Regions from separate parts of the Mus musculus genome. Here regions 1 and 2 are each reported to be linked to region 3. Evidence: microRNA targets listed by miRTarBase, many of them from high-throughput screens and not tested one by one. Region 3 holds a microRNA gene; each other region holds the end of a gene's coding sequence.

Region 1 (4,139 bases), not on the chromosome of region 3:
TCGGCTCTGACATCCTCCTTTCTGTGTTTCAGCCTTCACCTTTGGATCATCTAACTCGTAAGTACTTGTCTGCCCTGTGGTCTGCCCTCACTTAACTCAGTCAAATGGCCCAGGGAGGGGGAAGTCTCGGCCATGCTGGACTTGTGTGATGTGCTGTTTCTGTTTGCAGAGCCAGGCTAAAGAGCCAGGTTAGCAGCAGGTGTTGGGTTTAGGGCTGCCGGCCTGCGGGAGGCTGAGTAAGAGATGATTGGCCTTCCCGGCAGCAGGGCGTGGAGACACTTGCCTCATTTCTGTGGTGGTGTCTCCAGCTGCCTGCTACTGAAGGCTCCAGGCCCAACTCGAGGCTTGTGTGTTGATCCTCTCTGCACTTCTTGCAGGTCTGTCCAGGGCTTCGGTGGCTGGAGAAGCTGAGCTGATGTCAGCATTCCCTCAAGTTCCTGTGAGCTCCTGTGCGCATCCCTCCACAGCAACAGACTGTCAAAAGAACTTTCTCATGAAAACGCTCAGCCAGGAAGAAACACTGGAGACCAAAGCTCAGCAATGCTTAACTAACTGCCTGTTCCCCGCTTTCAAATTTTACATCAAGTTTTTCGTCTGCTATTAAAGTGTTTGGTCTGGTTCTGCACAGAACATCTGGGTATTTATTTGGGTCACAGCCAGAGACATTCCTATGGCTTGAGGAAACCAAGCCAGTGGTCTCTGCCCAGTGGCATTCTGAGTAGAGCCCCTCTACATGGAAAAGAGCAGAATGTGGCAGACACCTCCCCACGTTAATGTCTATGCCACATGTTCTGTGGTTCCATGTCAGGCTCCTGTGAGGGCCCCTTCCTTCACAGCCAGTTCTAAGACAGGTATGGCAAACAGACCAGGGAGGCAGCCGCTGAGCTGCCTGTCACCTGCCACCCTGTCTCTGCTCCTGCATGCTCTGCATCTGCTGCCAGTTCCCAGTGCAGAGGCAGTCTGCTGATCGTCTCCATACACAGCATTTGCAGACCTACAAACACCACGTCCTTCCTTCACTGTTTGGAACCCACGACTTACGGGGACATCAACAAGTCGCTGCAGGCTTGGACAGTGTGCGAATCCATTTTAGACATGCTTCTTTCTCTGGGTGCGTTAGCTTTGAGGGCCTGGCATGTTCTGCTCCTTGGGCTGTGGAGTCCTGTGCTACCAAAGCCTCTGCAGAGACCATCTGTCACCTTTCAGGTTCACAACATGGCACTGCTCTGGACTGGGTCAAGGGCAGAGGGAAGAGCTGTGGGTTGGGGTTTGTCATACTGGAAAGGTTTTGGTTCCTTTGTTGTTCAGGGGTTGTTCTTGTTTTTGAGACAGGGCTTCCCTGTGTAGCTGGCTGTCCTGGAACTTGCTCTGTAGACCAGGCTGGCCTTGAACTCAGAGAACTGCCTACCTCTGTCTCCTGAGTGCTGGGATTAAAGGCATGCCCACTACCACCTTGCTAAGATGCTGTTTTGTAATGCTTTAAGGTCATGGTGCAGTCAGTGTGACTGTGGTCCTATTGGCTTTTGTGTCCCCCATGCCACAGCTTGCTCAGGTGTGCCCTTATGTCTCAGCCTTGGCCTCAGACAGGGAGTTCAAGCCTCCATCCATCCTTATTCAGGGGAAGAACATGACCATCAGGGATGGGCGCTCCCCCAGAGTGTTCAGTGGCTTCTTATCATCTCAAGAGGAATCTGCCCTGCTGGGTTCCTAACCAGCCATCACCAGAGCCAAGACAAGACCTAGAATTAGGCACAGGGTCCACCCGGACTGTCACCCATTCTCTGTGCCACAGAGACTTGTCTGCATGCTTCACTCATTAGGGGCTCTGCCTCTTCTGAGGAGCTGGAGCCTTGAGAGCCTCAGTGTGGCCTCCTTTTGGTCCTTTGGGAATTGAAGAGCCAGGCACCGCTTGAGGCCCCTCTGCCCGGAAGCAGGTCTGTCTCTCCGTATGCTTGGAACTTTGCCGACCAGGTCTCTCAGACCAAGGGATCGCCAGGCTTCTTTTTGTGTCAGGGTCTCACTCTGCAGCCCTGGCTGGCTTCAAACTCTCTGATCCACCCTTTCCGATATATATCAAGTGCTGGGAAGAAAGGCACTTGCTCCAGGCTTTCTGGGTTTGATGGGGAACATTCATGGATGAGGACTATAACTGGGTAAAGAGAGGGAAGAGCCCGTTTTGTTACCTGAAGAGGAAGACTGAGATTAAAAATGGAAATGAAGGAGTTAGTGAACTGAGAAAATTCAACTGAGGTAATTTCCAAGGGTGCCATAGTCCTGCTTCAAGCATTGAGTTGTTACACTTGACAAAGCAGCAGGACAGAGATCAGGTGGCGGGGGGCGGGGGGGGGGTCCTCCTTCAGGCAAGAGGGTCTGTAGGTACTTCCTGCTGTCAGTGGACTTCAGCCAGCCACAGAGGTGAGGGGAGGTGACACACCCAATTGTGTGATCAGATTATATATATATCTTATAAAGTAGGTGCCCAGAGAAAGCTTAATATTTTTTTTAAAGATTTATTTATTTATTTATTATATGTAAGTACACTGTAGCTGTCTTCAGACACTCCAGAAGAGGGCGTCAGATCTTGTTACAGATGGTTGTGAGCCACCATGTGGTTGCTGGGATTTGAACTCGGGACCTTCGGAAGAGCAGTCGGGTGCTCTTACCCACTGAGCCATCTCACGAGCCCGAGAAAGCTTAATATTAAACTCACATCTCTCATTGACAATTCTAGAATGACAGGAACTCACCAACCACAATAACCATGGCCAAGGGAGTGAGGATGCCTTGGGGACTCACTCCTTTCACAGTTAGTGTTGGCCAGCTTTTCAGGCTGGCCGACCACACCTGTCCTGACGCCCTGCATGCTGAAGGCAGGCTGGAGGGCCCACAGTAGCTCTGCCCCATCAGAGCCTCAACTTGGAACAGTTCTGAGCACAGACCTACGCCTCTTACCAAATCCCTGTGTGCTTATGGGGGGGAGGGGGGGCATACTGCTGACCATGGGTCAGGAGTCCACACTTCCCCCTAAAGTGAGAATCTGTGGAAGCATACTCAATGTCACAAGATCCAGTCCTGTACATGGGAATGACAGTCACCACCACTGAGTTCTAGCTCAATGCAAGTGCTCTCAGGTACTGTCATTGCTCAGGCCCGGCCACCTGCTGGGCAGCATCCTACCCCTCACTACTACTCTGGAGGCTGAATTCTAGCCAGAGCTGCTGAGGCTCAGTGCTGAGTTAGTTGGTCTCCATGGTCCACACCCTCCCTGCGGTGCCGGAGACCTGACCCAGAAACTTCTGTGGAGGCTGCCGAAATAGCAAAAGCAAGGCAGCAGGGAAGCCCTGAGACAGGTTCAGCCACTGTGCACATGTGTGCACAGGGAAAGAGCTCCTGGACTTAATGGGAGTCTGTCTCTGAGAAACCAAACGATGGCCTCTACCACTGTGACCACCTGAAGCACTAACTTCATTTTACATCTGGGAAAGCAAAACAGACCATGATGAGAGAGCTTAGAAAAATCCGTTTTCTCCCTCCTCCTCAAGCTCCATGAAGCCCAGCTCCCTCCCAGCCCAGCATCCTGAACTTCAATGGGACATGCACTGAGCTGCTGGCTCGACCTGGCCACCTATCAATGTAATCCACCCCAAAAAAAGAGCTAGAGGGGGCTGACAGCAGCAGCACATTCCTCCTGTGCCTCACTAAGCACGACAGTAAGTGCTGGAGTGTTTTCTGGCAGAGCACAGCTGATACGGCCTATGGAGCGATGTCAAATGCTGTCTCAATGGAGGATTAGTGTGGAGAATTTGAGGTCAAGGGTTTAGGCTGAACTGCCTTCTATGTATAGAAAGGAGCCTGTAAGGGAATACAAGGGCAGATGAAAGCCTTGGCTGGGTGGGGGTAGACAGGATGACATGCCAAGGCAGAACAGAGCTAGTTACCCAGTTACATAGACCTCCTGTGAGCTTCCCTATCACAACTGCAGTCCCCTTGGTCTGAGAGACCTGGTCGGCAAAGTTTCAAGCATATGGAGAGACAGACCTGCTTCCGGGCAGAGGGGCCTCAAGCGGTGCCTGGCTCTTCAATTCCCAAAGGACCAAAAGGAGCCCACACTGAGGCTCTCAAGGCTCCAGCTCCTCAGA
Region 2 (4,114 bases), not on the chromosome of region 3:
TGTGTGTGTGTGTTTATGTCTATGTGTCTGTGTATACACAAACGTTTAAACGCATGTGCACCTGTGCAGCTCCATACGTATGGATGGAGGTCAAAGAACAACTTTTGGTTCTTGCTTTTGACCTTACTTTTTTTTTTTTTTTTTTTTTTGAGGTGGAGTTCAAGACAGGGTTTCTCTGTGAAACAGCCTTGGATGTTGTTGAACTCAACTTTACAAATCAGACTGACCTCAAACTCACAGAGATCTGCCTGCCTCTGCTTTCTGAGTGCTGGGATTAAAGGTGTGTGACACCATGCCCAGTTGAGATTGTATTTTCTTATCTTACATGATAAGGGTTTGCCTGCATGTATACCTCTGTGCACCATGTGTGTGCAATACCCGTGGAGGCTACGAGAGGGCGTCAGATCCTCTGGGACTAGAATTATAGTCTTGTGAGGGCTAGGCATTAAACCTAGGGTCTCCAGAAGATTAGCCAGTGCTCTTAACCAGATGGCTCTGAGCCATCTCTCCAACCCTGTTTCTTCCTGTTTCTTGAGGGACAGCTGTTCCATGGGTTTCAGGGCAATTCTCCTGTCTCCATCTCCTGTATTACTGTAAGAGCACTGGCATTCCAGTTGCTCTTCCTGTGTCTGACCTTTTGTACAAGTTCCAGACATTGAGCATAGGTCATCAGGCTTGAATAGCAAGAGCTTTTTATCCCCCTGAACCATGTCCCTTATTTCAGACAGACAGGCTGACACTTTGGCCAGTTAGGGGACCTGGGTAAAGATGAAGCTATAATCTATTCACAGAAATATTTTTGAGAAATATTGTTCTTGGGGCCTGGAGAGAGGGTTCAGTGGGTAAAAAGCTTGCCTTGAAAGCATGAGGAAAAGGGCAGGGGGTGCACACTCGGAACTTCAGCACGGGGGAGGCAGAAGTTAAAGGATCTTTGGGGGTTGCTGACCAGCCAGCATAGCCTAATAAGAAAAGTTCTAGATCAGTGAGTGAGAGACATATAGAGAGCAGGTAGACGGCTCCTGAGGATAACACCCAAGGTTGTCCTCTAGCTTATCTACACGAGTGCGCACGCACACACACACACACACACACACACACACATGTATACACATGCACACAGTCACACACACATGCACACTCACACATGCACATACATGTACATACATGGGTACACACACATACACACACACACTCATACACACATGTATATATATATGCATACACAGTCACACACACATACACACACACACTCATACACACATGTATATGTATATGCATACACAGTCACACACACATGCACACTCACACATGCACATACATGTACATACATGGGCGCACACACATACACATTTCACCCTTTTTTAAAAATAGCAAAGCAAGCTGGTCAGTGTGGCGCACATCTTTAATATCAGCACTGGGGAGGTAGAGGCAGGTGAATACGAGTTTGAGGCCAGCCTGGTCTACATATCAAGTCTCAGAATAGGCAGGGCCACAGAGAGAAACTCTTGTCTCAAAAAAAACCAAAAACCAAAAAACAAACAAACAAAAAAAACCCCAAGAAAACAAAAAAACAAAACAAAAAAAACCCAAAACAACAACAAAAGCAAAAAACCAACAAAAAATGGTCCATTTAATCTTTGATTTTAGACCATGGGTAGAGAAGGAGGAGAGAAGGCCACTGCTCACCCCGAACTCTCCAGCAGGGCTCCCAGCAGGAAAGATGGAGGAGACATCCTCTTCCCTGCCTTTGTAAGTTCTGTCTGGCACCATGTCCTTCAGTACTCAATCTGGGTGGCCGGTGCTGTGCCAGCACAGATAGTCCTCAGAAAAGGTGACCTCTCTGGCAGGACTGGAAGCCAGTCCTGCCCTGCTATCCATATTCCCTTTCTTGCAGAGTAGCTGGCTCTGGGCGCTATTGCTTGGTCTCTTCTGCCTCTCTTCTTTGTCAGCTGTGAGGCAGGAAGGGGAGACTATTCCCCATGCGTTGGCTAAGTTGCTGCCATGTCATCTGGTGTTGCTGGGTTGACATGCAACTTTGAGTACTGGAATCTCAGATCTGGCCTGTTCCAGGAGGGCTCCTGCTGTCATTCAGAGTTTGAGCGGTCCCTGACCCCCACCCCACGCCTGCCACACAAGTTTCCTGCCCTTCTCAGTGGCTTTCCGCTCTGGGCAGCACCTCCCAAGGATGCCACCAGACATCATGTTAGCTAGCGCTTACTGATGCAGCCGTTCCCAACACTCCAGCTTGCGGGCCAGCAAGGGAGAGGCAGGCCACCTGCTCTGAGGTGCTGTCTTCCATGTCTGTCTACCCTAGTCCCCACATGTATCTGGTCCATCCCAGCGTACAAAACTGAACAGTTTGTCCTTAGAAAGTAAGTGGTGAATGTCTCATCACCAGGGGACATCCAAACAGGCAGTATACTGGAAAGAGCCATGCATTTAGGCGGGTGACTTTTGAAAGAGGAGGCAGAATGTAGCCTTTATTTCCTCCCAGTACATGCCTTGGACGAGCCTCCTGCCCGCATCATGCCTCGGGCTCTTTTTGTTGATGTTGTTGTTTTGTTTTTTTGTTTTGTGGTGACAGGGTTTCTCTGTGTATCCCTGGCTGTCCTGGAACTCACTCTGTAGACCAAGCTGGCCTCGAACTCAGAAATCCGCCTGCATCTGTATCTGCATCTGCTGGGATTAAAGGCGTGTGCTACCACTGCCTGGCTCAGTCAGTGCTCCTAACCACTGAGCCATCTCTCCAGCCCATGCCTCGGGCTCTTATGTGCCCTCCTAGGGTGGCAAGGGAGACCTGAGACTGTGTGGGTGGTACAGACAAAGCTGGCCAGTCATCAGGAGATACCCAAGAGGTTCCCCGCTTGCCCCAGACATTTCCTGGCCCAAGCTCCCCCGGATCCCCCACAGTAGACAGGGGGCGTGTCTCCTCGGTCGGCCACAGACCAGAGGACTTACTCTCTCTCAGCCCAGGTCCTGCTCATCACTCCTCCTATCTCTCCTTTGAGCAGCCTACCCCACACTGGGCTCCTCAGTTTGGAGCCCACAGAGCAGCATCCCCCAGGGCCCCCCAAAAAAAGACAGCCAAAGCAGGCAGGCCTATCTGTCACCATCTTTATTTCCGGTTTCTAGTTTGACAGTCAATGAAAAGTTTGTTCAGTGACAAACCCACCACCCTCCCCCCATTCACTACACATCACCTTGAGTGTAACAGGCCATTCTTCCATATATTATTAACTCTTTGCTAAGCTATTTAATACTTTAAATATAAGAACAAAACAATAAGTTATTTCATGGCTGAGGGCTGGTTGCTGCCGTGGCAGACAGGAGTGTTGCTCTGGCCTCCCCTCCCATCTCCTGCCTGGGGTGAGACCTGGAGGCTACAGTGAGGTAGCAGAGTTATGTATACAGTAATATTGCCAGGGACCCCAGAGCCCACTGCTTCAATGCTGGAGCCCCCAGGGCATAGGCAGCAAACCATGTCCCCACCGGGATACTGACAGACTCATTTAAATAACACACAACCATAATAAATAAGATCAAGAAGAAATGTGCTCAAGCTGCTGCCTGCCTCAGTTGCCCTGTGTGGACCAGGCCACAGGCTGGACTCACGGTCTTGCTGCAGTTTTCTGTAGGGATGGGATGGGGCGGCGGGGGTGGGGGTGGGGTGGGGGTGTTGCCAGGCTGAGACCCTGAGCACTAGGCAGGCAGTGCAGGCTGAGGCCAAAGCTGAGGCATCTCCCTTCCTCCTCAACCCTCCTCCCTGCCTCTCCCCAGCAAAGTCTGATGTGAGAAAGGAAAATGAGTCCACAGCTGAGATGCCCAGGGATGGTCTCTCCTCATTAGAAGGGGCCGTGGCGAAACAGTTGCTTTGTGTAGCTGAGCAGTTTTGTTATAAAGTGGGCTACTTCGATTTTGGTATCGGGGAGGCTGGAGACCTGTGAAACGGCAGAGAAGCCCATCCATTAGAGGGACGCCAAGGTCAAGAACAGTTGGCATTCAGCAGGGGCTTTCCAGGGACAGGCCCTTACGATGCTACCAAAAGTCCCTGCCAGGTGGCTTCTGGCTCTGCCTCTACTTTACAACTGTGAATACTGAGGTTCAGGTGAAGGTT
Region 3 (4,139 bases):
TCTCCAGCCATCACCTCCTGCACATAAGCATAGGCCAACCCCAATCCCCTCCTCCTTCAGAACCCAAGAGTCAGGGCCCCAGACATTTTTCTTCTTCTCTGCCTGGACTGGGGCATAGGTGGGGGGCTCCTTCCTGAGAACCAGGTTTCCCCCACCCCTTTTAGCCCCAGCTGGAGTCCAGCCCTCCAGGGGTTAAGGGGGCGGGACCAGTTGGTTGCTATGGTGCCAGACTGTTTGGGTCTGCTCTCTGACCCTTGGGGGCTCCCTAGGGTCTGCAAAGAGGGGGAGGGGACCCATGCCCAGGGAGAAGTCGAGCGCCTACCCCTTCCTCAAAGCAAGCCTGTGAACCCAAGGGAGATGCACCCAAGCCTGGGGCAGTGACCTTGAACCAGTTCGGAACCTTCTCTGTGAGCCTCAGTTGGCCCTCTGAAGAGAAACTTGCAGGGTGTGTGGAGAGATGTTCAGGGCTGGAGAATCTTAAAGATTCTCCCTTCCCTGCTTTCCCTCACCGCCCCCCCCCCCTCAGGCCCCAGGCAGCCCCGGGGCATGCTGGGAACCCAGGCCTGGGCTCTGAGCCAGGTTGGTTGGGGGGGGGTGGGGGGGCTCCTCCCTTCCCCTTCCTCCCCACCTTGGCCTGACTCTCGCCCCCGCCTGAGGGTCTGGGAGGTTGGGAAGGAGGGAAAGGAGGACTTGAGCTCAGGCCGAAGACTGGTCTCAGGTCCCCCGCCTCCTCTTTTGCTTCTCCGCCCTCTTCCCGCCTCTCCTCCCCCTCCTCAGCAGGTCGCTACCCCGGCCCAGGGCCCCTTCTCAACCCACCCCCACTCCATCCCCACTCCACCCCCATTTCCAGACCTGGCTCCGAGCAGCAAGGGGGAGGGAGAGAGAGAAGAGAGAGAGGGAAGGAGAAAGGGAGAAGAATGGGGGGAGGGGATGGAGAAGAGGGAAGGAGAAAAGAGAGAGAGAAAGGGAGAGACCCCGGGAGGAGACTGGAAGATGGGAGGAGGGTAGAAGCTAGACTAAATAAAAAAGCAGGGAGGAGAAAAAGAGAGGGAGATAGGAATCCAGAGAAAAAGAGAGACAAAGCCAGGGAAGGAAATGAAAGAAGATTGTGAAAAAGAGGAAGAGACTTGAGAAGTAGATATAGAAGATAGGAGGTGAGGAAGAGAGGTGAATGTAAAGAGGGTCAGCTAGAACAGAGACAGCGGGAGGAGCAGGCATTCAGATATGGGCGAAGAGGAAAACCTCATCAGGGATGATACAAACAGAGAAAGAAAGGGAGAATAAGAAAAGAGCAAGGTAAGAAAAAATGGGTGGAGAGAAAGAAACAAGAAGACGGACATGGAACCTGGGAGCCCCAGAAGACCAGTTCTGTGCTCAGAGCCTCAGGGTGGGTGCAGGTCCTAGGGCTCCTCCCACCTGCCGACAACTGACTTTGGTCTAGTGGCTTCCCCTCTGGGGGCTCCTGTGTGCTGGGAGCGACCTCATTTCTGAGTTGGGAGGTGTTGAGGAGACAGGGTCCTGGTTGGTGTCATTATTCCTTGACCATAGCTATCACCCCAAAGGTTGAGAATGGTTTTGGAAAAGATAGGATTATTCCATGAGACCCATGAGGACTTCTGATACTCAGAAGGCCTTTAACTCAGGCCTGGGATATGAAACCTTTAGGGGTTACAGAAGGGGCTCAGATTGCCAAGACAAACGGGGATACATCCTTTCTGCAGTGCAGAAGTCAGGTCTCTAACCAGATTGTCTTCTCTAAGGGATGTGCCTGGTTGGACCCTGAGTCTGCCGGGGAGGGCTATGGGGTGGAGGAGAACTGTGAGGGTTAGGGACTGAGTCCCTGGGTCTGGACTGAGGAGAATTGAGTGCAAGGCGGCAGGGTCTGCTTCCCTGGATCTGTGGGAGGGAGGGCTGTGACCACTACCCCTTAGTCTAAGGGAGGAAGCTTTGGGACTGAGGGAGGAGGGCTGAGGTCTGGATCTCTGGCCTTGAAAGAGGGGGGCTGGGGCTTAGATTTTGGGGCTGGGACTGAATTCCTGGGTTCCTTGGGGAGGAGGGGGCCGGGGGCCCGGACTCCTGGGTCCTGGCACCCACCCGTAGAACCGACCTTGCGGGGCCTTCGCCGCACACAAGCTCGTGTCTGTGGGTCCGTGTCGGGGGCTCACCATCGCGGCTGGGACCTCCCCGGCCCTCCCCACCCTCCCTACTTCTGGTCTCCCATCAATCCATCTGTCAATCTGCCCACCTGCCGCGCCCCCCGGGCTGAGGTAGGAGGTTGTATAGTTGAGGAAGACACCCGAGGAGATCACTATACGGCCTCCTAGCTTTCCCCAGGCTGCGCCCTGCACTGGAAGGGGCCGGCGGGGACCCCAGGTCCACACCATTGCCCAAGAGTTCTTGATAGGAGCTGGGGTGTCTTCTCTGTTCACATTCTATCCTATCCCTTTTCTTTGCAGTCTCTATGCCATCTTGAGATTTTCGAATTTTCTGTCTCTGTCTCTTATGCCAATGTCTCTAGGGTTCTAGAAGCTTCTGTTTCTCTAGTGCTGTGAATGTATCTCTGTGACACTGGGTTTCTGAGCTTTTTGAGGCATCTCCTGGTTCCTTTCTATCTTCTGGGGCTTAGGGTATCTGTTTCTGTCTCGCTTCCCCGTTCCCACCTCTGGGGAAAAGGGTTTTTCTGGTCCACCATAGCTACACTGCCGGCCTCTGGGTCCCTGAGACCCTTTAACCTGTGAGGACGTCCAGGGTCACAGGTGAGGTTCTTGGGAGCCTGGCGCCTGGCCCAGCCACAAATTTAGGGATTTCAGGTGACCCCTGGCAACCTTCCTCTAGCTGGAGCCTGATGCTTGACCATCATTTGAAACTCAATCTCTGATCACAGGCTCCCCCTCCCCCACAATGACCTCACAAAGGTCACTATCTTCTCCTCAGACCCGGAGACCCTCTGTTATGGGTCTTATTTCCTTAGTAGGGAGCATTGTCCTGTTGTTCCTGCTGATCTTCAGGGCATCCACGTGGGCCTGTCTCTTCTGCTTCACTACCTATGAGGAACGCCTCCGTGTCTGCCAGCTGTTTGTGGGCAGAGAGGAAACCAAGATAAACCTGTGCAGAAATGAGCTTGAAGGGGCTTTTGAAGATCTCAAAGACATGAAAATCAGTGAGGAGCCCCTCCTTCCTGAACCAGGGCCCTGGGGAGGGGAAGGAGATTCCTTGAGCTACTCCAAGAAGAAAAGCCAAGTACAGGATCATGACATAGACACAGAGAAGAGAGACAGGTGGAAACAATGGAAGGAAACAGGTCCAGAGTGGGGTGGAGACAGACAAAACAGTGCCTCAGAGAGAGTCTAAAGACAGTAAGGGAAAGAGATGGAAAAGTAGAAGCATTGCTCAGAGAGAGGATATGGATTGGGAACACAGATGAGTGGGGAGATTAGAGACCTGGAGAGAGGGACAGAGAGCTAGGAATCAATCCAGAGAGATGAGAGACACACAGAGAGTAAGGTACATAGAGATAAGACAGGAACAGAGTCCCAAAGTGAGGGACATAGGTATAGATACAGAGAGTAGTTTCAGGAAGAATAGAGAGACAGTGATCTAGAGATAGGTGGGACAGAGACCAATGGGGTTGGAGTAAAGATGTAGATGAGGAAGCAGATCCAGGGTACCAGGTAACAGGCCTAGAGAGAGAGAGATTAGATGGATGGAGAGATACCAAGATTGAAGGTTTAGGTTAGGGTTAGGGAAACACACACACACACACACACACACACACACACACACACAGAGAGAGAGAGAGAGAGAGAGAGAGAGAGCTCTAGGTGGGGCACATAGAACAATAGACTGGGGCTATAGAATCTGGGATGATCACAGGGCTTGGAGATATTCAGCCATGAGTGGGACATAGAGAACACCATGGAACCAGGTTTGTGCCATGGTGTCTCATCTACCTTCAGACTATGATGAGAGGAGCTACCTGCATGATGAATTTACACAGATGACAGTTTCTCTTCAGGAGAAGGCTGCTAGACGACGGGGTGAGTGTTTTATGGGCATAAGTGGTGGGGAAAGTCATCTTGAGGAAGTGACCCTGGGAACCTGTCTGAGTTAGGTTATTTGTTGAGGAAACTCCAGAGATG

Evidence for each region. Region 3 holds the annotated microRNA mmu-let-7e-5p (UGAGGUAGGAGGUUGUAUAGUU, at 2,264-2,285, shown strand). A microRNA usually pairs through its seed, bases 2 to 8, with sites in the 3' UTR of a target mRNA and lowers its output. Matches are read on the target gene's strand: a 7mer-m8 pairs with bases 2 to 8, a 7mer-A1 pairs with bases 2 to 7 and ends in A, and an 8mer does both.
Region 1: the mRNA of Nup214 is a reported target of mmu-let-7e-5p. Seed matches in the 3' UTR shown: 7mer-m8 at 1,405-1,411.
Region 2: the mRNA of Il13 is a reported target of mmu-let-7e-5p. Seed matches in the 3' UTR shown: 8mer at 3,387-3,394.

What each region holds. Positions count from the first base shown.
Region 1 is chr2:32,051,742-32,055,880 of GRCm38, forward strand. Nup214 (nucleoporin 214) reads left to right here. Exons shown (of 36, transcript NM_172268.2): 35 at 33-57; 36 at 378-2,234. The coding sequence ends at 411. It also overlaps a transcript of Fam78a not described here. Among named protein-coding and RNA genes, the nearest start is that of Mir7674, 2.9 kb to the left of the region's middle.
Region 2 is chr11:53,628,223-53,632,336 of GRCm38, forward strand. It overlaps Il13 (interleukin 13), which reads right to left. Exons shown (of 4, transcript NM_008355.3): 4 at 3,101-3,938. The coding sequence ends at 3,843. Among named protein-coding and RNA genes, the nearest start is that of Il13, 4.4 kb to the right of the region's middle.
Region 3 is chr17:17,828,103-17,832,241 of GRCm38, forward strand. It overlaps Mirlet7e (microRNA let7e), which reads left to right and starts at 2,250; the gene lies at 2,250-2,342. It overlaps Spaca6 (sperm acrosome associated 6), which reads left to right and starts at 2,873. Exons shown (of 9, transcript NM_001162909.1): 1 at 2,873-3,160; 2 at 3,957-4,037. The coding sequence starts at 2,902. Mir99b (microRNA 99b) reads left to right here and starts at 2,086; the gene lies at 2,086-2,155. Mir125a (microRNA 125a) reads left to right here and starts at 2,710; the gene lies at 2,710-2,777.